Linked DNA regions of Lytechinus pictus. The protein of the gene in region 2 purifies or fractionates together with the protein of the main gene of each other region. This does not show direct contact. Links are inferred from orthologs where the notes say so. Each region holds a gene or a part of one and is shown on either strand. Other genes may lie near its edges.

Evidence for each region.
Region 1: the proteins of tyrosine-protein kinase RYK-like (region 2) and adhesion G protein-coupled receptor A3-like purify together in Homo sapiens (affinity purification with mass spectrometry; 3 studies listed by BioGRID and IntAct, with this or other methods). This does not show direct contact. The link is inferred for Lytechinus pictus from reciprocal best matches to the Homo sapiens genes RYK and ADGRA3.

Annotation. Positions count from the first base shown.
Region 1 is NC_087256.1:14,216,373-14,229,088, reverse strand, and holds the start of adhesion G protein-coupled receptor A3-like, read right to left. Parts: upstream 5,367-12,716; 5' UTR 5,333-5,366; coding exon 5,301-5,332; intron 4,806-5,300; coding exon 4,734-4,805; intron 3,248-4,733; coding exon 3,078-3,247; intron 2,769-3,077; coding exon 2,545-2,768; intron 1,446-2,544; coding exon 1,286-1,445; intron 672-1,285; coding exon 466-671; intron 1-465. UniProt on the Homo sapiens protein: Orphan receptor that may have a role in planar cell polarity pathway.
Region 2 is NC_087260.1:21,523,739-21,536,383, reverse strand, and holds the start of tyrosine-protein kinase RYK-like, read right to left. Parts: upstream 5,116-12,645; 5' UTR 5,045-5,115; coding exon 4,924-5,044; exon of another isoform or gene 4,805-4,923; intron 1,131-4,804; coding exon 1,009-1,130; intron 696-1,008; coding exon 596-695; intron 1-595. Other genes in the region: progesterone-induced-blocking factor 1-like, read left to right, coding at 5,346-5,684, 7,423-7,665, 8,467-8,586, 8,866-8,999, 9,635-9,743, 11,400-11,581, 12,508-12,633. UniProt on the Homo sapiens protein: May be a coreceptor along with FZD8 of Wnt proteins, such as WNT1, WNT3, WNT3A and WNT5A. Involved in neuron differentiation, axon guidance, corpus callosum establishment and neurite outgrowth.

The DNA.
Region 1 (12,716 bases), on a different chromosome or scaffold from region 2:
TTTACTGCATAATGAAATCTTAGCAACAAAATCAGCAACTTAAAAAAAATGCTCTAAGGAATATATATAATAAAGTGATAAAATTTTTGGTTGAATATCAGCATTTGTGCCATTTTTCATCCACTGGTCAGGTGCAAAAGGAACTACCTACAAGCATCACATCTACATCCCAAAGATATATATCATATGAGGTTCTGCATAGTTTTTGTTTATACATATCAAACTAAACATAAAAATGAAATTTACATGAAATAAATCAAACAAATAAGACTAAGTTAACGAAAAATTCCACAATATAAAACTGAAAACAAATAAAACAACTACAATTATAATTCAAATGTCTTATGAAATAAATCCCTAACTTGGTCTAATATTTTTTGAAACATTGAATTATGTGTACCTTATTCATGAACTGTTCCATATTCCTATACATAAACAAATTAGTTCTGACAAATTCTCTCCTACCATTGCCATTTTCTCCAGCATGCGGGTGACCTCATCCGCGTAATCGCAGAGATCCGTCTGAGGGGTCTGCCACTGGCCCCCTTCTAAGCAGGTACGTCTTCCTTTGGCCCTTGAGGGATCACCACCAGTGAAGTGAAGACCTCCTCCATACGGGCAGGGCACCTCTGCCGTCATATCAGGGATGGTCGCCTGCCACTGAAAGGTACCTATCATAGAAAAGAAATAAACTGCAATCATCGGATTCTATAGGGCATTGGTTATCACTGGTGTCTGATTAGAGGCACATGAAGGAGTAGTGAAACTAAAAAGTATGATTGTAATATCAGATATATATTTATGAAATGGTTTTCAAACAAAAGACTCTTTAGTTGTTAAATCATGATGACTTGAGCTTCAACGAATAGGTTGATCAGATGCATAGTAATTACCTATTGAATATTACAATCAAATCAACTGAAAGTACATTCAGACATCAAAGTGCAAGTGCAACACAAAAGTTTTTTATCATAAACATAATATCATAATCAACATTATTACCAAGACCACAAATTTCTTCCTCCTCCTCACAATTGTGAACATACTTTTTTTTTATCTTCACCTCTTTCTCCTCATGGTCATCATCATCCTCATTAATCACGATCATCATCACCATCACCATCCACTACCATCAACACCACCACCAGTACCACAACCACCACCACTAGTACCACAACCACCATCATCACCACCACCACCACCACCATCATCACCATCATCATCATCATCATTATCATCATCATTTTTCTCTTCCACCTCATCGTCCTGACTCTCACTCTCTTACCTTTGTTATTAGTTGTGATTTCTTCCTGGCAGTTGTGAGACTGATTGATGTGGCCAAACACATACAGATCCATCATAACATTCTTTTTGCCACGCCCACTACCAGTCATCACTTGGCACTCCATCTTCCACAGACCGGTGCTTTGGGTTATCTGTTGAATCTAATCAATCAAAGATCAACATATTTTAATTGTCTATGATTTAGCTTATGGAAGTCAAGTATTAAAGTTGCTACAAGTTGACTGCATTGAATTGCATAAATTTTGTCTCAATGTTGCATAAAGATCCTAATACAAAGTACTCAGAGTAATTTTGAATAATGTGCAGCAACATTCATTTACTTTCAAAATTCTGAATTTGAATTGCTATTTCTCTTCGAATACGCTTTTCACACTGTACTTTTTTTCCTTAACCCCGGGAAATTGGTGGGGCTAAGGGGGGGCCTTAGCCCCACCAATTTCCTGGGGTTAAGCTTAGCCCACTTCGTTTTCACACTAGTTTTAGTAAAGTGGGCTAGCACGGTAAATAGTACAGTACTATCTGGCCCTGCAAAAAAGCAGAGTTAGCCGGCTTATTGTGGTGCAAGCACCACAATTGCGGTGCTTAGAGATGCAGTGTGTAACGAAACTGGGCTAAGGAAAAGCGGGGCTAAGCAATAGCCAATCACAGAAGTCGAAATTGCACGTTAATCATGCTCTGTATGGTAAAATCATCAATATTCATGAGCTGTGGGATAGTCCAGGGTTAAGGCGTTAACCCCGGCTAAGCAGATAGTATGGGGTTAAGAAAGACAGTGTAAATCCAAAAAAAGATAGTATGGGGTTAAGGATAGTCCGGGGTTAAGGATAGTATGGGGTTAAGGATAGTCCGGGGTTAAGGATGGTATGGGGTTAAGGAAATGCAATGTGAAAAGCATATAAATATCTTCTGCCTTAAAAATCGTTGGAATAATACTTATTTGACATCCTCAAGGATATGAGTTGCTCATTACTGCCTTTCAAAACATGTAATATCATGCCATGTCTATACCTTGGCGTAGAACATTTTAATAAAAGGATACCTAGTTATGTATTTTTAAAATCTGTATTGTCTTGATATTGTTACTGTACTATTATACAGTGCCTCCTGGAAAAAAAACTGATTCTTTTCACTGAAGGGGCCGCCCAGCATTAACAAAACACGAAACCAAATCAAATCAATTTTTCTCTTAGGAACTTCCTGAATTTCATAGCCCCAACTCACCAATGCAGGATTACTTACTGTCAGAGTGCTTGTCATGAGAGCCTGGTCTTCCATGGTGTGGGTTTCAATGCTGATCCCAGCCGAGGCATTGTTCTCTAGGACCTGCTTGTTCCTTAGCCACACCATCTGCTGGGTCTCATCCAGGTAAGACGCAATGCATTCCAGTGATATGGGATCCCCCTTGAAGACCACCTGGTCACTGCTGGGACGGATCTCAAAGCGGGACATCTGCAGGGGAAAGTCTGACCGGTTGGGAGAGAAGAGACAGTAGATGAATCAAGCCTAACGATCTTGATCTTGATACGATTGATTTACAAATGCTTGGTGTGGCTTTCCCATATATTTTAGGCAACAATACATGAAGTCAAAAGAATACCTTAATCAATCTTAACATTTTCAATGAGCTCTTTTAATTTAGGCAAAGATTCAACCTAGCTAAGAAATCACTAACAGTCTGGTGAATTTCAGTAATCTTGAAGTTGGTTAATATATAAACAAAATTGCTACTTCCAATTCATTTATTTTATCCGGCTAATCATTAATTCACTTACCACAGTTGAGCTGGGCTTTCTTCAAACTGCTGACCTGGCGACCGGCGAGAGACTCTGGCACTGCGCAGGTCGTACTGTCGGAGATTTTGACCTTTGGGGTTCGAGTGCGTTTCCATTTCACAATCCAGTCCAACTTACAGTCACAGACCAGATACTCTGATGCAAACTCACTGCAATGAAAGGTGAGAGGTCTTCATTTTAACATCAGAATTTTCATTTGATACTTTGAATTTCTACTAAAATTTACTAGAAAGCATTGAAAGATACATGTATGCACACTAATGTATCTAATATTTGTTCACAAGTCATTGATAAGAACACGTCACAACTAATATAACACAAAAGTTTTACTTTTTAGTAGATGTTGTACAACTGGTACAGAATACCACTGTGTGAACAACTCTCCCCATATCCTGAATGGCAAAATACTTGATATCCTTAACAAAAATAATGGCAAGAAAACATACCCTTATAGCTTGAGTACCCACATTATAGATGCAATTAGTCTCATAAAGGTCACAACAACAGTGGAAAGAAATTAACCCAAGGGAAGCATTTGGAGATGTTACGATGTGATTACTATGACAATAAGATCAAGTTTGAATTAAATCGACAAGGGGTATCTTTGATGATGGATATAAATGGTTATTCAACCTTTTTTTATGGACTCGCCAATCTCTATTTCCCATTCCAATTTGACCTAGAGAGATAACTTCCTATGTATCGTAAGGACAAGATGATGAAATATAAGACAACAAATTTGTTTTTATTTAACAGAGCAAATTTATCTGAAACTGTGGATACAAAAATAGTTACCTCACTACATGGCTACAAAATTTAAGATTGATAATCAAAGGTTTTAATTTATTTGTGCCCTGGAGATTTCTACTTGTGAATTGATGTAGTAATAGTTTTACAAGAAAATAGATGAAATGTTCACTAGGGAATTTGTGCCAAGGCTGAAAATACTTTTAAAAAACAGCCAACAATGCAAAGAAGATGCAAAGCTTTTATTTTGCTACAGTAATCTTCAATAGATGAATAGATCGAATTCAGGGTAAATAATCATTTCCATTTGATATGGTGTTTTTTTTATAAATGTCCCTTGAGATGTCAACTTTGGAGTCACAATGAGGTGCAATTTTTAGTGATAGGATATAATTCTCTCAATACAACAAAGAAGGCTTTGTAACTGGACAAAGAGGAAGGGCAATGAATTGAAACATCAGCAAACAACAAACATGTTTATTTGTCTTCTTGTATAATCTTTGATCAAAACTTCTACATAGCAATGTCCATAATATCTGCTACATACAAAACTTAGTTATTTGGTGTATGAATTATCATCCAAATATTCTCTAATTTCAAATAGCAAATGAGCATTTCAAAGGTGTGATGAGTGGTGAAATATTTAAAACATTATTTATACTGGAAATATTCCTGCAGTAGAATTTTACCTTGTTTTATAATGTATTCAATTATCATTGCATTGAATCCAGCATGTCCAAAGAGGTAATCAAACGTTTCTGAAATTGTGGTCACTACTCAGCACATTGTACATAAGATTTTGCTTTTATTCATTACGGCACAATGAATTTCAGATTTTAAGAAAATGTACTCATTCCCCTCCCCCCCCAAAAAAAAAGAACAACTTACAGTCTCCTGAGCATGGTGAGGCGGTCAAAGGTCGCTTGTGAAATGGTTGATATCTGATTGTGGGAGAAAATACTGAAAAAGAAAACATGAAAATAAATGAAATCGCATTTGATAAACGTATGATTTACAATGTGAGACAAATGATAATTGGCAAATCAAATTGGATCATATCAGTAGCTATAAGCATGACTTCAAAAGTTAAAATTTCAAAGCTCACATTAAATGAAGATTGATAAACAAGTTTAATGAAACAATGTGCTGTCCATTTCAAGACCTATAGAGCTGGTAATTGTAATTTATTATCCTATACATGTATATAATCAAACAGTTTATGATACATTCATCATGTTAGTCACCACTTCATAAAACCAGCAGATGACCTAAAACAAAAAATATTGCAATCAACAGCTTTATATTTGTAGAAACAATTCTGATCAATCTTCTGGTCAATCTTTTTTTTCTAATCAGTCAACAGGAAAGTTGAAGAAGGCCTGTAAATGGGATACTATAATACTATTCTGCATATAAATTAAAGCTAAGGGTCTGAAGGGGGTTGAAATTACTTACAGTTCTTCCAGTGATGATAATCCAATGAACATGGAGTTATTCACACTACCAAGCCTATTGTACGATAGGTCCCTGCAAGATTACACAAGAAAATATTTCAGTTAAAACAAAAGCTAAGTTGAGTTTCATAATAAAGTTACAAACTTACAGTGTACATTTTTTTTTCTTCCAGTGGGTGATGGACTTCTCCTTCAAATTAAAATGCACCTTTTCATCTTTTTTTGCACTGGCATAATGAATTACAATATTACAATTTCATTCAAATTTATTACTTATATAAAGCATAATTTGTCAAAGTTGAATCCTATATTGCCTGATTGATTGATCGACTGATTAATCTAGAATTCTAAACATTTTTTAGGAGGCCTCACTCCTGATGTTACCAGTCTTTTCATCATTTTTAAAATTTCGATACAATTTAAAAATGTAAATTAAACAGAAACAGAAAAAAAAAATCATCACTTTATAATGCAGAGTAACGTTTACTCATGGAGAATCTAAGCAGAGAAAGTATACTTTATTATGAATCATATAATACAAACACAGAACAAGTCAAAATCCTACAAAACTTCCTAAATCTTTCAGTTTAAGTTCAAATCTATATTTATTCATTTTCAATAAAAAAGAACAATACAAAATTATTCATATGATTTACATTTCACAGTATCACTTAGAAATAAAGACAAAGAAAGTGTGTGAACATGATTATTTTTGCTTATATACAGTTAACAGTCGTACACTGAAAGTGTATCCCAAAATTGCTATCTTCCTGGAACCCATTTCATTTTTTTTTTAATCAACAAGAAATTCTGGGATTCTGAGAAATAATTGTTCTAAGTCAATCAATGAGATGAATCCATAATAAATATTATGAACAGCAACTTGAATCTTGGCTGTGAATGTTTCGTTAGCGATATTATTCAAGACTTTCCTCTACATTAATAAAAAGGATATCTGGGGCCATTTCTGCAAAGAAAGTGCCCCAGAGTGGGGACCTGAATCAATACTATATGGACAGAGTGTCTATCAATGATATGTACATTCTTTATTTTTATCAGTACATCAAACAAACAAAAAATTCTGTGACTTTGTGTTAGCTCTTTGTCAGGCCTGATTTATCATGTAATTATTTGTATTATGTTGAAGAATGAAAAATAAATTGAATTGAATTGAATTTTCAATGTTAAAAAAATAGTAAAATAAACTACAGCTGGATTATTTTAGAGTATTCCTGCAGTTCTATGACAGAGCTAAACCACAATGGAACGCATTTCATATTTCACTTGATGTTGCTCTTCCTACCTGACCTCCCTCCCTTATCCTCCCATTCTCTTTCATTCACTATCTCTCACTCTCTGTCCGCCAATTTCCATCATCAGCTTTTTCTGTGTACCACGGAATATGAAAGAAGATCATCTGTAGCAAGGGGTCACTGAACACATCCATCATCAATAAACATTGCAGATTTTCTTTTCTGTCAATTCATCCTCTTAAATGACAAGTCCACCCCAGCAAAAAGTTAATTTGAATAAAAAGAGAAAAGTCCAACGAGCACAACCCTGAAAATTTCATCAAAATTAGATGTAAAATTCAAAGTTATGACATATTTAAGTTTCGCTTAATTTCACAAAACAGTTATATTCACATCCTGGTCGGTATGCAAATGAGGAGACTGATGACAGCACCCACTCGCCATTTCTTTTGTATATTATTATATGAAATATTACTATTTTCTTCCCGTTGAACTATGAAAAAAGTTTTATTCCTCCCTGAACATGGAGAATTACCATTTTTTGACATTGGTAGTACATGATAATGAATGGACAAAACTTTTTTCTGCCCCATCCTGGTACAAGGGCCCTGTTTCATAAAGAGTTACAACTGTTGTAACTTTGCCATTATGGCAACTACCACAGTAACCTTGATTTTGATTGGCTGCTGAGCCCTGTTGCCATGGTAGTTGCGATAATAGGAAAGTTACAGCAGTTGTAACTCTTATGAAATGGGCCCCAGGTCCTTATTTATGGCTTCATCATGTATTAAACTTTTATACCCACACCACCATTCACTGTGGAATCAGTTTTAGAATTTTTGCATTAATATTTAAAGTTCTCAAGCTAGTCAATGCGGATAGAGGTATTGGTGTTCCAGCTGCCTCCTTCTATGAGAGCAATCGCATGAAATTGCAAGAATAACACCGTGCCGTTGAGAGTTGCAGTATTGATTAGAGGAAATCAAAGTGGCAACAGATTGGCTGTCACCGAGTCGGCTGGCTGACAGAATTCATTTCATAAATTGCTTCTTATTTACTCTGCCCCAAAATGACTTCTTCTCAATCATATCTTCCTTAATCAAAGATAAAAAAGATCTCGAGGAAAAAAAACAATTAGATTTAAGAAAAGTAGATGAAATAAAGAAGAGCACTTTGGATAAGACCCAGTTGAGGTACTCCTGCTAAAACTACTACAAATCTTGATATCTTACGTCTCCATGAAAATTAATTTTCAATTGAATCAATATCCAAAAAATATTTTGTATTCAGATCAATCAATAAAAATAGATTATATCCCAGTCTTCAAGTAAAACCATAGAATGATATATGTGTAGATGCAAACAGAATGGTTCATTCAAAAAGAAAAATAAGGGAAATATAGCCCATATACCAGATGTAGGCCTACAATTTTGAACATATCAAAACAAGAAAAAACAAGGATTATTTATTGATTTGTTTGAATATAAGTGTTTTTATTGCGGTGTGTTGGCTCAATTGGTAGAGCCTCCGTCTCATATGCGATAGGTTGGGTCAGACCAAAATGTGTTAATAGATCAGAGTTGCTGCTACCAGGGGCGGATCCAGGATTTTCCAAAAGGGAGGGCACATTTCCCCCCCCGAGGAAAAATTTAACAAGCCCCCCCAAAAAGTCTACAACAAATAAATTTGGACATTTCGTCCACGAAGAAATCTGACAAAAAAAAAGGTCTTCACTTTCAAAAGGGGACACACTTCTGTCTTAACGGCATTTTTACATTACAAATTTTAATTGTGCCTCTCAAAAGGGGGGCACGGGCCGGCTGTGTCCCCCCATGGATCTGCCAGTGGCTGCTACCCTGTTTGACTTTCCAACAATTTAAGGGATAGAGCAATGTCAATCTGACGCTACAGTGACTGCCGGGCCTACGATCAATTGGTCACAATGAATTTTTCAGAGTACCGGTACTTCTATTTCAGATTTCTATTTTGAAGAGTAAAATATGGATTCTCATCTACTTTTTTTAAGGAGGAAAAGGGGAGAAATAATGGATGAGTAAGCAGTGAACAAAATTTGGCTAATCATATGAAGTACTGAAGCTCAGAATGGGGGAGTAAGCTATCACATTCAATCAATGGTTTTATCACACAATTTTCTTTCATTTTAAAACAAGCACATTTCAAGAATATCATAATCATTATGATAAATATATCCAATCATTCACAAAGCAGCACTCCTCCACCGCGCAACTATGTATTTCTTTGTATCCATAGTTGATCCCGTATGCAGGAGGCGTTTGTGGAGTATGATCTCATATGATTCTCCTCGAGTGCTAGATCTCTGCTCGTAGTGTGATTCACTGAGCAAATTTGATTTTCTCATTATGAACAGCTTTCCGTTCTGATTAGATGGCTAGGGGGCATATTTGTCTTCCTGCCCTTGCAGTCCTCCTACATGTACCTTCAGTTACAGATGGGCCCAGTCATCTTGTGATGCGCAATAGTACGCACATCTCCACCAGTCGTATGTTTTCAGATATTAACAGGGATGCTTGGTAGAAAAGTCTAAAAATCATCTAGAATTGCCCCCTTTTCCTATACGTGAAAGACATGTTTTCTGTGACTGAAAATGCATGTATGTTTTAAAAAAAGTCTGAATCAGACTTTGGTCTGGAAATTGGCATCCCTGATTATACCTAGATAAAATTAAATCTAGATCAAAATAATAAGATTTTTTTTTATCTGCGATGGAGAATTGGAGACGTAACATTTTGGGGGGCTTACTGTAATCTCGAGATTGCAAACTGAAATCAATTTAGATTTATTTACTATTTAGAAATAACAAACACCCATGATTTGGGCAAAAATTCATAACCCAAAGCAGTGGTGGCTCCAGGGGGGGCACATCTAGCCAGTGCCCCCCCCCCCTTTGAGAGTCATGGGAAATATTCTTAATAGAAATATGTCGTTCAAACAGAAGTGAGGAGCCTTTTTTTTTTTAATTTGAAGCGGGACAAAATAACCTTCATTTTTTAATCTTTTTTTCTTTCTTTTATTTTGTTTGTTAAATTTTCCTAGGGAAAATGTGCCCGCCCCCTTTGGAAAATCCTAGATCCGCCCCTGGCCCAAAGTATGCATGCCCCATGGACACAGGCCACATACCTTATTACAAGAATCTAACATTCTCACTCATCGTCTTTTGCTTTTAACTCCTTTAATTTCAGCATAAACAAAACAATGTTATACAAAGTCTATTGAACAGTCGTGGTCATGAGCAATGCTACATATACCCAATAATATGCAGCACAACACTCGCTTCCTACTGTCAATAAAAAGATTAATCCCGCAACCTATCAATTTACTATGTCATTAATATTGACAGCAAGGTGTACCTGCCTTGCATGAAATACTGGGCAATTACAGACTGAACTGTTGGCCCTTCATATACTCAATTAGTGAAGCAAATAAATTCATGCACTTGTTGTCCAATTAAATACAGACCTCATAGAGGCCTTAAGTGTATAATGAGTCTTCAAAAAAGACACAAAATAATAAAAAAATATACATATATATAATTATATATATACTAAAAACCCCCACTATAGGACTAGCTGGGTGGAACTGATATATATCTTAATACAAATTCCCAGTAAGAAATGAATGTGTTTCAGCCAAATGATCTAGAAAATAGTCAAATATGACTAAATTTAACAGTTGCATTGCTGAACCTTTTGTTGAGCCATACACATACTAGAATATTGATTTTCTAAATGTTCTTCAATTGGGCAACTCTAGAGTCAAGAAAAGATAGTAACCTCAAAGTATTTCACTTTACATGTAGGGATGTTTAGAGTCGATTCGAGTAAAGCCATCCATTGCCCTCATGCACTTCCTATGCTGCTATATTAGAGTGCAAAGAATTAACAGTCTTTCTATACATAGAATACACTTTGATTTATTTTACTCCACGCTGACAAAAATCAAGCAATAACAATATTCACAAATATAATTACTTTTCTACTATATAACTTCTTCTAGCTGTAAATTTTAATCCATAAAAATTGTATTGCAGATGCTCCGACCCACTGGATAATTCAAAGGATAATTCATTCCTCAAGATTTTTAATATCAAACCCCTTAAGCCAGAGGATGAACGGGTTAAAAGATTGAGCTAGAAGATCACCAGAGTCTGTGACATTTTCAGTGATTGAAATTCATTGACTGTTGACATTTCCTCAAGCAAGGCCGAACATGCCGTGTCTATTGTCATCCAACCAGCCGATTTATTTCATTTCCCATTTTTCTATCATTTTTTCCTACCGTGCAAGCAGCGATCACAATGTGCTCTATGAACCATGATTTGTAATTGCTTGCCGGAATAGAAAACCTTGAACAAAGGAAAGGAATATGTTCTTGAATCTGACCTATAAATTATATGTTCAGTTGTGTACAACCCCCGCCCCGTCCATCTCGCAATGATCTTTCGTCAATAATTCAATAATATAGCAATGTTTTCTCTGAGAGAAATGTTACATTACATTTACACATGCATATCAAAGTCAATGTACTTCTACATTATCGCCAATATCACATAACTAAATATTACTTTCAAGTCTGAACATGACGTTAATTTATGCATTAGTGACCATCTAGCTCCGAACGGGTGATATATTGCCGAAGAGAGGTTAGAAAGATACTGGTAATAATTCCATTCTGACACTGAGACTAAAACGATGTCCAGATGCTCTAGTTTATGCTCCACATTAAACACCAAGATAATTATTTCTTCATATAAAAATAATATTGATATCTTTATACACTGTAGGATGATAATCAAAGACCTTGTGCAGATAAACAAGCTATTAATGTAACTAATCAAATAAATTATTAGCTACATGATGTAGATTATTAGCTACATGATGTAGATTATTACTTATTAAATATTAAGGCCATGGCCTGAGCCAAATAATACTATCCTTGAGTGAAATCGATTTAATTTTCAAATTTTCTTTCGTACAAATAAGAGGAAAATATCAATATATTATTTGTATGAGTATCCCTCATAAAAATGATAGGGCATGGTACTCTAAAATCTATCAAGATTGCAAGGTCATCGCAAAAAGCAATTAAATTTAGTTACTTTACATAGTATATGCAAGATAGCAAACCAAAGCAAAATGCTATACTGTGAAATTAAGTAAAATAATAAATGAATGGAAAAAAATAGATTTCTGAAAAAAATGACAGATAAATTGCGAAAATTTTCTGGAAATGAAAGGTTTCATGTGGATTGAAAGTATTTCATAAACTAGCATTTGTACAGTGGTTTATTTCAAGTTATCTTATATTCAACAACAAAAGTGCCCTTTTCTAAATGACCACTGCTGTACATCCCATTGAATTAAAATCATCCTCAGGAATAAGTCATAGAATATGAAATATCAATAATATTGGCCCATGTAGTAAAATAACAAATGAATGGAATAATAAGTACAGAAAGAAAGAAAATGATGAATGAATGAATATATAGCTTTATAGGTAGGTCAATAACTTCAACATCTAAAATCTGGTTTAGTTGGTCAAGCCGAAATAAAATATTTAACAAGCAGCCGGGATGGAATAAAGTAGAGATATTAACAGTCATCCCTACCCTGTAAGAGAATTTGTCATTCCATGTGAAGCTCTAAATTTGGCTGACGTCACCAGAGTAAATATATTGAATGATTTGAATTATTTTGGACTGTCTACGAAAGGTCGTCTGTTCGTAAGCTACATCTGTCAAATTATATTCCAATAATAAAACAAAGATATGCCCATGGCTGTATGGTGCGGAATACAACTACCAGTATAAAGATCTTTAAAAATATAGAAGTTGCATTAGTTGCACAGAATAATCATCTGTTTGATGTGTAATAAAACAATAAATATGTTTGAAATACAATTCATTGATTTCAATTCCTAAGGTGCCATTCACCCTTAATCTAACATAAAGTGAATATGTATTCTTATTAATTTCACGATTAAAAAATAAATCTTTTGGATTCAAATGAAATCCAGTAATAAACTAATTGCTAACTACAGTCTAATTAAATTATTCAGTATTATGTATTTGATCTTTTTACCTGGAAGAATTTGAAAAATATGACTCCTTGTTAAAAGGGTTAAGG
Region 2 (12,645 bases):
GTTCAGTTATGGATGGCCTGACGTGGTAGAATCTTTATCGATTAAATCATTTTACTATTTCAAAATTAATGGTTTTGTGGCGTGTACCAACAGTTTTTATAGAACTTTTCTTTGTATTACAATTATCATTGAATGCATTAACCCACTTGTTTTGTGATGTAATTTCAACCTCTATGATTGATTACGTAAGATTATAATTTTAAAATTTCTAGGCACTTTCGCATGTCATAATCTACCCACGTGATGCCACTACGTCATTAAGAAAGAAGATAAGACAGGTTCGGAGGTGTCATAAATATGTAGTGAGGTTGTTGTACCCGATCTTGGTAAAGAGGGCTTCGTGAAACGGTTAGCGGACAAGTAGCTCACTATCTCCGATTTAGTCAAGAAGTTAGACTTATGACGGTGTTGAGAAACGGGCCCCAGGGCCATTACCTACATGCATGTATGTAAGGCTTGTAAGCATTGGTGTACATGTACAGGTAGAAAAAAAAGGATATTTTTTTTTTACAAAAAAACAGTTCGAGAAAACAAAGATTTGGCAGCCCTGCAATGATGTTTAATAATAATGATACATAATATACTTGCAAAGCACCTGTTTTAATGAGAGGGACTTTCCCATCCTTTGTGATATTCAAGCTTGGATGATATAAAATCCTTGGATTCTTGGACTTCACAGACATTGAATAATAAACCTGGAAGGGGAAAATCAAAACATACATTTAGGTCACTCCAATTTACAAAACATGTCAATTTCATCTATTCTCATTCATTCTGTAGTATTATTCCTGTGATAAATTTAAAGTAAATGTTAGAAGAAAAAAGGAAACATATAATTATTTCAAGAATTATCCATTCCTGCTCTTTTATTCTCTGGATCTTAACTGTTATACTGCATTGTGTAATTATTATTTTCTTAATAACTGATTGATTATCATGATAACTTGATATGAAATGCAATAAAAGGTCACCCCCTCCCCCTTAGGAAAAAAATGAAAAACAACTCACCTGCCTCTCACTATACCATGTGTAATATAGTTTATTTATTCCTGTTGGGACTGCTAAAGGATAGTTTGTGGCTGCACGGTTGATCTTCCCTTCTCGGATATAATACAGCTCTGCTGAAACACCTGCAGGTACATGTAACAACATAAAACATGAAATGCACAGGTAACTCAAATCATAAAAGGACTACGGTCTCTCAGTAGCGAGAGATGACCTACATGTATTACAAAAAGAGGCTTCGACTTTTAATAGGATACTACAATTACACACAGAAAATGTTTGTCTTGGCTTTGAATTTGAATCAAGTCAAGGAAAATCAAGAAGAATTTAGCATATTCCTTTTTTTTTTTTGGGGGGGGATATGGTACATGATGACAGCCCACCCAGTGAGCTCGGGGGGGGGGGGGGGGCTAAAAAAATAACCTTCCCCAAAAGTTGCTAAGATTTTACATCCATGGAATGCCCATCTATTATCTATATTTTCCTTAAATCATTTCAATTTATTTGGAAACTACAGTACCAAGACAATGAGGAATATCCCCATTCTTTCTTGATTCTAAAAATTGATTTCTAGGACTGCTATTTTATGTTTGACTACAAACATCAATGTCTACATGTGGACATGTACATGAACATAATATGCCATTTCTGGCAAAGTCACTAAAATCTGCCATTCTTAGGTACATAAATGCTTCCAAGAACAAATTATTTTGAACTCATTTATGCTTTGGGGCTCCATTTCTCAACTTGAAATAATACTGTATCATCTCAAAGATGAACTCATTGTGAACAAAGATACATATCTTCTACGAGTCTACAAAGGAAAAATGACAGATATTGTAGTATCAAAAGTTGATTTGCCTGAAAATGACATTTCAGACATGTAAGTGAAGTCACACATGTAGCACTTGATGTTAGTAGATTAAATGTGACTGTGACATCAAATGAATCTTTCAGAATCAAGAAAGAAAGGAATATTCCTGAATTTCTTGGCATTTTCGAATTCTACGAACAGACGGCGGAAAGACTTCCTTATGTCCCCTCCACTAATTAAAAAAAATACTTCTCCAAAACCCCCTTCTTTTGTTCTCTTTTTTTTTTTCTTCTTACTTCCGATTGGGACTTGGATTCGAACCTCTCACAGCAGAACAAGGCAACTCCAGTCTGTCACCTTACTCACTGAGCTAGCAGGAATTGTTGAAAGCTAGGGGTTTCATAACGGTTATCAACCGATATTAAGACTAGTCTACTCTCCAAGAGTATTGGGTATTTATTTTTTGACTAAATAAACCGATGCCATTGGGAATTACACACACTCAAATTTTTGAAGGAATAAAGCCATATTTTGGTATGTATCCAACTTTTCCTTCTTAAATCTCTTAGATACCGTATTTGTTATATAATTCTTGATAAACTTTCTCCAAATTTTTTTTTTCAATTTTAGTGGAGGGGACATATGGAAGTCTTGCCCAGACAGCTATTTCATCAATAGATTATATAACGTAGGATGCAAAATGTGAAAGTAACGCAATATTTTGAAAAAGTTTTTTTTTTAATGTTTCTTTTTTCCCTTATTTCTAGGGTGAATCATTTTTCAAATTTGCTAAATATTTGGCAAGTTACCCCAAGTCTGCGCAGTCCCCCTTGTCTGCGCACACGCGTATCTGCAGGATTCTAGTAAAAGAATATACTGTACACAACAAACACAGTCTTTACACATGCAATACATAGACAGATATTCATTAAAAAATCTGACTCAAAATGGTGGAAAAGTATAAATGATTTTAGGCATTTCATGTGAAGACCTCAAAATGCAGACTTTCTTATCAAAATACCCTAATCACGTGCAAAGTGAATGGGTGCGCAGACATGGGGTACCATCTTTTTTTAATATGAAAATGACTGCCCGAGGTTTTTTTCCAAGAAAATCCTAAATTTCTTTCAAATAGATATTTGGTACACTTACTCATAATAATATAAGGAACATTATTAACTGAAAGATTTTAAGTAAGAATAAATTCATGTTAAATCTTAACTCATATAATTAGGTGTGCAGACTTGGGGACCACCATCATTCAATTTGAACAATTATTTGAATGGCATCAACAGGCAGCGATGTCAAGAGCAAGAAAAGATGAGGAACAGACATGACAGAGTGCTAAAATAAGTCACCGAATGACTTCATGTCGATCGGTACATGTACATGTAAGTGAAATGGAACAATATTATTAGATTTTACATTTTAAATTATCTATTCCGTGCAATCGCATGGAAGTGTTAATCTGGACTCTCAGTCTCAGGAATCTCTAACCCAGGGAGCTCCGGCCCGCGGGCCGGACCCCAGGACTCGTCCGTGTAATATTAGGCAGAGGATACTATCCAAAAATGGGGTAGAATGGGGTCGCAATACATGTAGCACCCCAAATAACAGTGAAAAAATAAATTATGCACTTACCTCGATTATAGGGATGAAGGTCTATCATGACACAGAATCCTGACATCCGAGGCACAAAACTGGACCCTCAAAAAAGTAAAAAGTTCTGTCACGTTCGTTCTCCTTCTTTCAAAATTGAAAACAAAATGGCCGATCGATACCGAGAACGAACGCGACATGGAGGTCTAACTTTTTCTTTTTTTGAGTGTCCAGTTTGTGCCTCGATGTCAGGATTCTGTGTCACGATCCATATAATCGAGGTATGTGCATAATTTATTTTTTCCCCTTTTATTTCGAGTGCTATTGCGACCCCATTCTAACCCATTTTGAAGAGTACCCATGTCTGCCTAGTATTATACGGACGACTCCTGGGCTCCAGCCCGCTTTGCGTGCTGGAGCTCCCTGAGTTGAAGGAATCTCCAATTCCAAACTCCAAAGAAGTGAAGAATCAGCTCACAGAGCTCGAGAGAGTTGCATGCGTCGTGCCTTGATTTTCCCGTGCACGGCATGTATGGTAGGGGGTCGTAAAACTGCGCGGGTCCTGAAGCTAAGCACCACTCGTCGCGCATGCAGTTTTTAGTGGCAAATGCGCACTTTGTGGGAGGAATTGTGACAACGATTCCTATTCATTTTTTCCACAGAGGCTGCAGTAAATCCCTAAATGCAGAGAAAACCCACAACTGTTTGGAATTTTGAGTTATATTTGCTACAATTTCACATTATCCTATAATAATATGGAATTTTTTTGCTGTCTACAATACCCCTGCCACCCCTCCCTGCCAACATAAGTAGCACACCTAATTTTGTCTAAAGCCAAGGAGAGCAGCAATAGACATTCTACTTTGATCAATGAACAGGCTTAGTCCTACAACATCGTTGGAGTAAACTAAACTATAATATAATATGAACATATTTTAGAAATTGAGGCACAGGAAATACTATTTTTCTGCATGATAAATCGAGTGCGTAGCTTTATTTAGGACCCCTTTTAACATCGGGCAACGAATTCAAGAAGTGTTCGGAAAACACGGCAGGATTTTCGTATTAGTGAGTTTTGTGATATTTTTTCTTGCTTAATGATCTTTAGAATGTTTGCCACAAAAGGCACAAATCAGTGAAAAATAATTTGTTCAAATATTAAAATTGGCATAGTTTTTATTAAGTTTTGTAAACAAAGTGCGTAGCTTTAGTTCCCCCCATCATAAATGAACCCTTGAGTGGTTTCTACTAGGCTCTACTACTGAGGCTCTAAGCTACACTTCTAAATAAATAATGAACAAAACTGACATGATTGAATCAAAACAATACCATTATTGCACTGCCCCACTGCATTTGCCCGCACACGCACAGCCTCAGTCACTCATCACATATCATCCCCCACACACACACACAGTCAACACTGCACAGGCTCCGAATGCTGAAGCTGAGGCAATCATCTTCTCATCTCTTTCACTTCGCGACTTTTTGCGTCTCCGAATACTCACCAACTAATCTTTTAACTTCAGCTGGACTGATGAATAGGTTCATATATCCGTGTACACAGTACACACAAGAAAATAAAACAACACATTTAAGCAGAATTATATATATTATCCTTGTAGCCATTTCGTCTTTCTCTCCTGACTTCACACACAGTAGCAAATGTAATGTCAATGACCCAAATATAGCACTCCTTAACCTTTGACCCATTAAGGATTTCGGAGAGAAGACTGTGCTCGTTTCTCATAAAAATGTGCGAAAGCTTCGTTCTACTCTTTGTTGTTTAGTATTTTATTGCAGGAGTGCATTCTCATATATCAACTTTAGCAGCGGCTGTTTCGAAAGAATGTCATTTTGAAAATGTAAACATTCATAAACATAATTAAGTTTATATTCCTTTGAGACACAAGCTGAGCCTGAGGATAGAATGGCTCATAAAGATATTTCAAGCCTAATAAGTGAGCTGGATACCGACGTCACTGGAGAAATAAGCACATCTTTAGCGACGGATATTTCATTTTCTGCGGGAGATGAAACTGACGAGAATCGTCAGCGGAAATCGAGGCATTCTGAACGGAGACAACCCGGGAAGATCACCCGTCAGCTGATCGAAAGGAAGCAGTTGCTACACGACTTGCAACTGGTGAAAATTGAATTGTCCCAGAAGAATTTGATTATCGAGAATTTGAAAGCTGAACAATTAGCGAGAGTTGAAGAACTTGAAGAAAAATTAGGCGATGCCTCTCACACCAAGCAGATTTTGCAGGTGATTTAAAAAAATATTTTTTAATATTTTTTTTCAAATTTAACGTTACCGGTAATATTATAATAAAAATATTGATCAATAACGTTAGACTTATCAAACGCCAGTTGATCCTGCTGCTGAAGTGCTGTGCTGAGCTGAGTGATCATGCAGATACTTTATTCATTGAAAATGAGCATGATGAAGAATGAAAATGATGATTGATGACAATTTTAGAGTCTAAGTTTGTCTGATTATTTCTTTCCTGATTTTATATACTTGACGGATGAATGATGATGGTGAGCTGAACTTGATGATGTCATGCCTGGGAATGCAATTTTGTGATGATGATCATGACATGGTCACAAATTTGTAAATCTTCATTTTCTTATTAATCTCGATAATTTGTTGACAATTGTCAGTGTTCTGCATGGTTTGGATTACCTCGAGCGAAGTTCGTGCAGGCTCCACTCCACTTCACTACCGCTACACTACTTTCCACCTACCCAAACTTCGAGACCATGAACTCTATCTGATAATTCCGAGTGACAAAGGTGGGATTTTATGGGGGGAAAATATAAAATTCATGCAACATCACGATCTTTAAAAACAATTAAAACTAATATTCTTACTTTACACAAAGTTTCACTTTTTTTCCATGCTTCTATCAGTCTCAAAATTGGTGATTTAGAGCCAACATGAAGTTCCTCACACGTATAAATAATTCGCTGCCGATTTCAAAACATCGGATGCGATATGCGCGAGATACTGGGTCCGGTCCGAGCTCGGACCCTCGCGCATGCGATGTTTTGAAATCGGCAGCGATACGTGTGAGGAACTTCATGTTGGCTCTAAATCACCAATTTTGAGACTGATAGAAGCATGGAAAAGAAGTGAAACTTTGTGTACAGTAAGAATATTAGTTTTGATTGTTTTTAAAGATCGTGATGTTGCATGAATTTTATATTTTCCCCCCATAAAATCCCACCTTTGTCACTCGGAATATCTGAGCGAGTTTTGTACCTCAAAGTTCAGGTAGGTGGAGCGTAGTGTAGCGGTAGTGAAGTGGAGTGGAGCCTGCACAAACCTCGCTCGAGGTAGGTTTGGATAAAAGTATAGATCTAGAAAGTCTTTGAAGATCTATACAAAATACTACTTTTCCCTTTTCCTCTTTTTCATCTTTGTATTTAGGTTTCTCCCCTTTTTCTTTTTCCTCCCCTATTCTCATTTCTCCTTCTCTTCCTCCTCCTCCTCTTCCCCCCTCAATCTCCTCTTCTCCTCCCTCCTCCCCCTCCTCTTCTTTTCCTTTGTCTTTTTCTTCTTCTTGGCTGTGTATGTTTGACATTGTAGGTTACAGAGTACCAGTACTGTGATTTATGCTACATAAATTCAACATACATGTAGTCTTATTCTGAAAGGACTAGGCGTACGAGTACACGTACATGTATCTTCGCTCCTTATTCTATTCAATAGAATTAAACAGTGGACCAGGTTTTTTTTAAGTTGATAATTGATTATTGTTCACTTACTGAAATTGCAAGGTACATGTGATGGGGAAGACATTGACAAACAGCATAAAAAGCCCGGAGGGCCCTGCATTGTATACATCCAGATCCAGAAATATAAATTAATACCTGACACTGTGTCTGATTCACCAAAGGATAAGTGTTACGGTACATCAAAGATGTCCATTTTAGAAATAAATCAGTTATTTTGTTTGACCAGTTATAAACACTTTGGTAATATCTTCTTCCCATGACAGGCCAGACTTGAAGCACAACTGAATGTAAACAAAGAAGAGGCCCGCCATTTACAGCAGAAACTCCAAGCTGACTTGCACACAATCACAGAAAAACAGCGCCATCTGGAGGCCACAAATGCAGAGTTACAACGACGAGCTGGTGATGTCCGGAGGGCATTGCATAACTTAGATCTGTCGGATGAGCAGTACAGTTCATTGAAGAGAGCAAGAGAGGAAGAACTCACTTTAAGGGATGTCATAGCGGTAAGTAAGCCTGTGAATGTGTATTGCCATGTTCAATTTAAGTTTGTTAGAAAAGCTCATCACCAATCAGAAATATGATATCACTTGTTCCACTTTTTTGAATTCTCAACCTAGAATAATGATTTTGATATTCAAATAATATACAAGTAAAGAAATTACATGTGTATATATATTTTGACGCTTTTGTCTGATCAAGCAACATAATATTCATGATGGCACTCTATAAAAAAACAACCAATAATAGTCGCAATGGGAATTTTAGAGTAAAGAGCATAGAAGAGAATGATCAATCAGTTTTTGTTTAAATCTATAAATTTTCTGAATAATACAATCTATCTTTTAATGAATTTTCAGGGTTAAATAGGGTTTACAACTTGCATTTTCCAGGGTTTGAAAACAATGTAAAACATGAATTATAAGCTAGAAACTCATACAAAAAAAAACCGATATTAGCCATCATTACCATAGTTTTAAATAGCAGACCAAAACTTAATGGAAGGTATGGTGAGACTTTGTAAGTATGCTATGAAGGCTTGCAGCTCAATCCGTTAACCCTTATAATGCTTTATCAAGCCTATAGTACTATGCTCTTGACATGGATTAAGCTCAGCCCTGCATCATGCTTCAAATGGTAGATTCACTGTTTCACACTCAATTTCTCGCTCATTTTAGTAAGTTGTATGAATTTCTCACCCTCTCTGCTATTTTATTGGATTTTCAATTTCATCATCGATTGAAGTTTATAGCAAGTTATGTATATATTGTGACATGCTTTGATACATCTGAATTGGGCTCTTTCAGGTGAAATTCTATGAAGAGAAACATCCACTGCAGTTGAAGCTGACTGATCTTGAAGGCTGGAAGGACACATTAGAAACAGAGCTAAAGAGGAGCAGAGAGGAACAGTTTAGATTACATGAGGCAAGTACAATCACAGGGCTGTTTTTACAAAGCGGCCATATTTAGATGACAACACTCATGTTATCTAGTATTTCATTGATTTATTCTATAGTTTTCTTAATTTTATGTTTTCTTAATTAATATTGATGGCAACACTATCTTGATCATTTGAAGCATGACATTCATTGATTTGAATTCAGTAATTGAAAAATTATCCTTTTATTAATATTGGCTAGATATTTTGTATTGATTTGAAAATGGAAATATATTATAGATTGTTTCATGTCACAATATTCTTAGGCACTGGAGAAGGAGCAACGGCTGAAAAGTGACGCTGAAGGAAAATGTCAGAGGTTGACCCTTGACCTTGCCAATTTGAAGTCAACACACAATCAGAATGACTACAAGCAAGAGAACTACGATAGAGTCAAGAGGTCAGTTTCAAAATTGAAAAATTGCATGTATTTTGTACCTGTAAGTTCTGCTGAAGCTGAACAAAATGGCTTTGAGCAGACTGGTAGAAGTGTTTCTACACTTGTTGACTTCTGCGTAATATGAAAATGCATGAATGTGCACAAATTAAAAGCAATCTTGACTCTTCAGAGTTCACAGAAGACTTTTTTTTTATGTCATATTAAAATTGAAATTTAGCAACTTATGTCAGTGCAGTGGCATGAAAAACTTGGAGGCCACACCTTCAGGAATGATTCTTAGGAGCACTGGCATAAATCTGTGACTTAAATTCAAGTGGGGGGGATGACACAATAGACCCCCCCTTGAACAATACGTTCACTACTCGGATTTACACCAGTGCTTAAGAGTGTGGTAGTAGCACTATCATGGCATGATTATGTTGATGAATAATTAACCACTTTGCTTATACATGTAAGTCACTGGTCATTCCTGTTTGGCCCAAATGATTGTAATTATGATTTAATTATCAGCTGAATGCTTGATTTTAATTTCTAATCCTGGACAAATCTACTAACAACCTTTAAACATGAAAAGAAGTACAAATTTAGTAACATCAATCAAATGCAAGTTGTAGTTTTGTGGATTTGTTTTGCAGTGAGAGGGATAATTATGAACAGCAGCTTGATGATCTGGAGAAGCAACATACGTATCTCAATGTCACCTTCAAAGCAGTGGCCGAAGAAAGGGATCAACTTGTCAAAGAGGTACATGATAATCTGGGGTGTTTCATAGAGTTAACCCCCCCTCAACATTTTCAATGACCATTCCGCTGCATGTTTTTTTTTACCATGCCACTTTCATCAGCTGAAACTAATTGATTTTAGCATACCGTAAGTAACGGTCTATTAACCGCACCTTTTTCTCGGCGGGATAGAAGCAAAAGTCGGGGGTGCGGTTTATCCACGGTGACGGGTCTGAGCCAGCCTGTCGTAACCCCTCCCGAACATGTAAGACGTCTGCCAGTTCACAACACATCGAGTGGCCGGGCGTAGCCGCCCAGGGCAATGTCGTTTAGAGGGGTATGAGCCGCGGGTAATGAGAAGCGATTATTACGATCTTATCAAATATTGTCCATAACAAACGCACCCACCTTCATGACACTAATTTCGACTTTATTCTCGATTCAAAGCAGCGTAGTTCCCTGGCTAAGTTCAAAGAGACGCCAAGCATACTCGGTAATATTTTGTCACAGCTGAGCGAGAGCTAAGTGAGCTGAGCTAGCTTGCATTGTATTGTGGTTATGGTGCGACTTAAGCTGGCGCTATTCATTTTAACCCCTCCCCTAGGCCCTCCAAAGTCCCGTTTCACGCCAGCTTATTTTTTCTTTCCCGTTTGCTTTTCATAAGATACCATGTACACCACGCACGAGAGAGACGGCACGAAGCCGTAAAAACAACTGTAAAAATGCCAATTTCTTTGTTTCTTGAACCTTTCTGTAATCCCGTATCCAAAATTCATGCTAAGACATCGAATGCTAGACAAATTCTGAAAGTGATTGTGAGTTTGTGATGCAAGAAATGTGAATGTTTCTTCCTCCTACGCCAGGAGAGACACAGATCATTATTTGATAAGATTTACTGGTACCGTATCGTAGTTTGCAATGTACAAGAACGGCAGCGCTGTGTGTGTGTGTGTACACTGTGACTGTGAGGTGAGTGAGTGTGTAAGTGGCCAATATTGTCGGGACCTTTCTTTCTTGCTAACATCTGTAGACGAATTGATCAAGAACAGCAGATTTCCGCATACCGGTATTAATTTCTTTGGATACTTTGAAATCTTTAACTTAGTTTTTGTTTCTTCGTACCTCAAATATGCACATGTAAATGTGAGAAGGATTTTTTTTTTTTTTGTTTTTAGTCCAAAGTTGGGGGTGCGGTTAATCCACGGGTGCGGTTTATAGTCCGTTACTTACGGTACATGTAATTATTCTGCAAAAAAGTTTATGCAAAATTTCATGAATAAAAAAAAAAAAAAAAAAAAACACATGGGAAATTCATAAACATTAAAACACATAAGAAATTGAATATCAAACAAATTTTTGAAACACCATTGTGAGGAATGCTGCCAAAAAAAATTCACCTAAAATTAACATTCTACATGTAGGAGCTTTATTTAGTGAATTTTAACACAAAGTATGATTTATACATAAATTAACTAATTAATTCAAATAAAATCTTATTATTTCAGAAAAATTGACTATACTTCCGTATAGATTACATTGCACATTATCTAGGTGCCTGTGATCTCACAATGTTAAGAATATAATCATAGTTGTGTATATTCAAAAGCTTTTCTTTTTATTGATTGTCACAATAATTAGTTCATCACCTTTGTACTTCACCCCCCCCCCCATCCCATAGCTCGCCGATAAGAAACAAGAGTTGCTTCTCCTTGACCAAGACAAGGGGTACTTTTCAAAGCAGTTCAGCGATGTCAGCAACAAACTTGCCCATGCTGAAGAACGTCTGCTGTGTGCCCAGGCTGACGTGGACCATGCCAAGCGATCCAGAGAAGAGCTTTACGAAAAGTACATTGAATCCAGGTCAGTTGAATTCTATTCTAGAAATAACAACCCTTGTAAATTTCTTAAAATTGAAATCATTTACTTGAAATGAAATGTAGTACTTGAAAAGGATCCATTCACACTTGATGAAAAGTGCATTGGATCAAGATGATTAAAGGTGCATTCCATTCTAGAAAAAAAATTCATGGAAATTTGAAATGTTATCCATCATTTGCCTAAATCGAAATATACTACTTGAAAGGACCCGTACATATTATATAGAAAGTACATTGAATCCAGGCAAGTTGCATTCCATTCTTGAAAATATAAATTCTAGTAAATTTAAAAATTTGATAATTTACACAAATTGAAATACTACTTGAAAAAAAGGACCCTTACATATTTTTATATGAAAAGTACATTGAATCTTGGTGGGCTTTCCATAAATAATCACAACTTATTTCCAGAGGGGCTTACCAATAGAAGCTTTGCTTTTTAATAAGTCCCTCATTTTCATTTTGATACGTTAACTATGACCTGTAATTCTCAATTATTTAATTATCAAAATGTGTTTACAAAACTACAACTTTTACTGATCACTTTTGTATATTATGTATCTATGTGTTTGTTGTTATGTTTATTGTTTGAAAATGGAAATGAAATAAACTGAACTGAATTGAAAAACTGAAAAAAAGGTTTTGCACAACTGGAACATGTTCTTATGTACTAAGTCAGCTGCACAAGGATCATATAGCATGAGAAAGGGTCACTAGTGTCCTGCATAAAGTCCGCCGTAACTTCCAAGCGGCTTTTATGAAACACTTGGTAATATTCCATTCCATAATAATAACAATTCTTGTAAATTTGAAATGTAATTAATCATTTGTACTTTGCACGAATTGAAACGAAGTACTTAAAAAAGGCTTATTCAAGGTGATTTAAGTCTGTAAACTTTTTATTCGCAGGGATCAGTGTAAGGTGGAGTATGAGACTCGACTAAGAGAAGAGCTAGAGTCAATCCGACTAAGGACAGAAACTGAGATTGATAAACTGAAGAGTACCATGAGGGATACCTTTGAAAGAGAGAACAGGTGAGTCAGGCT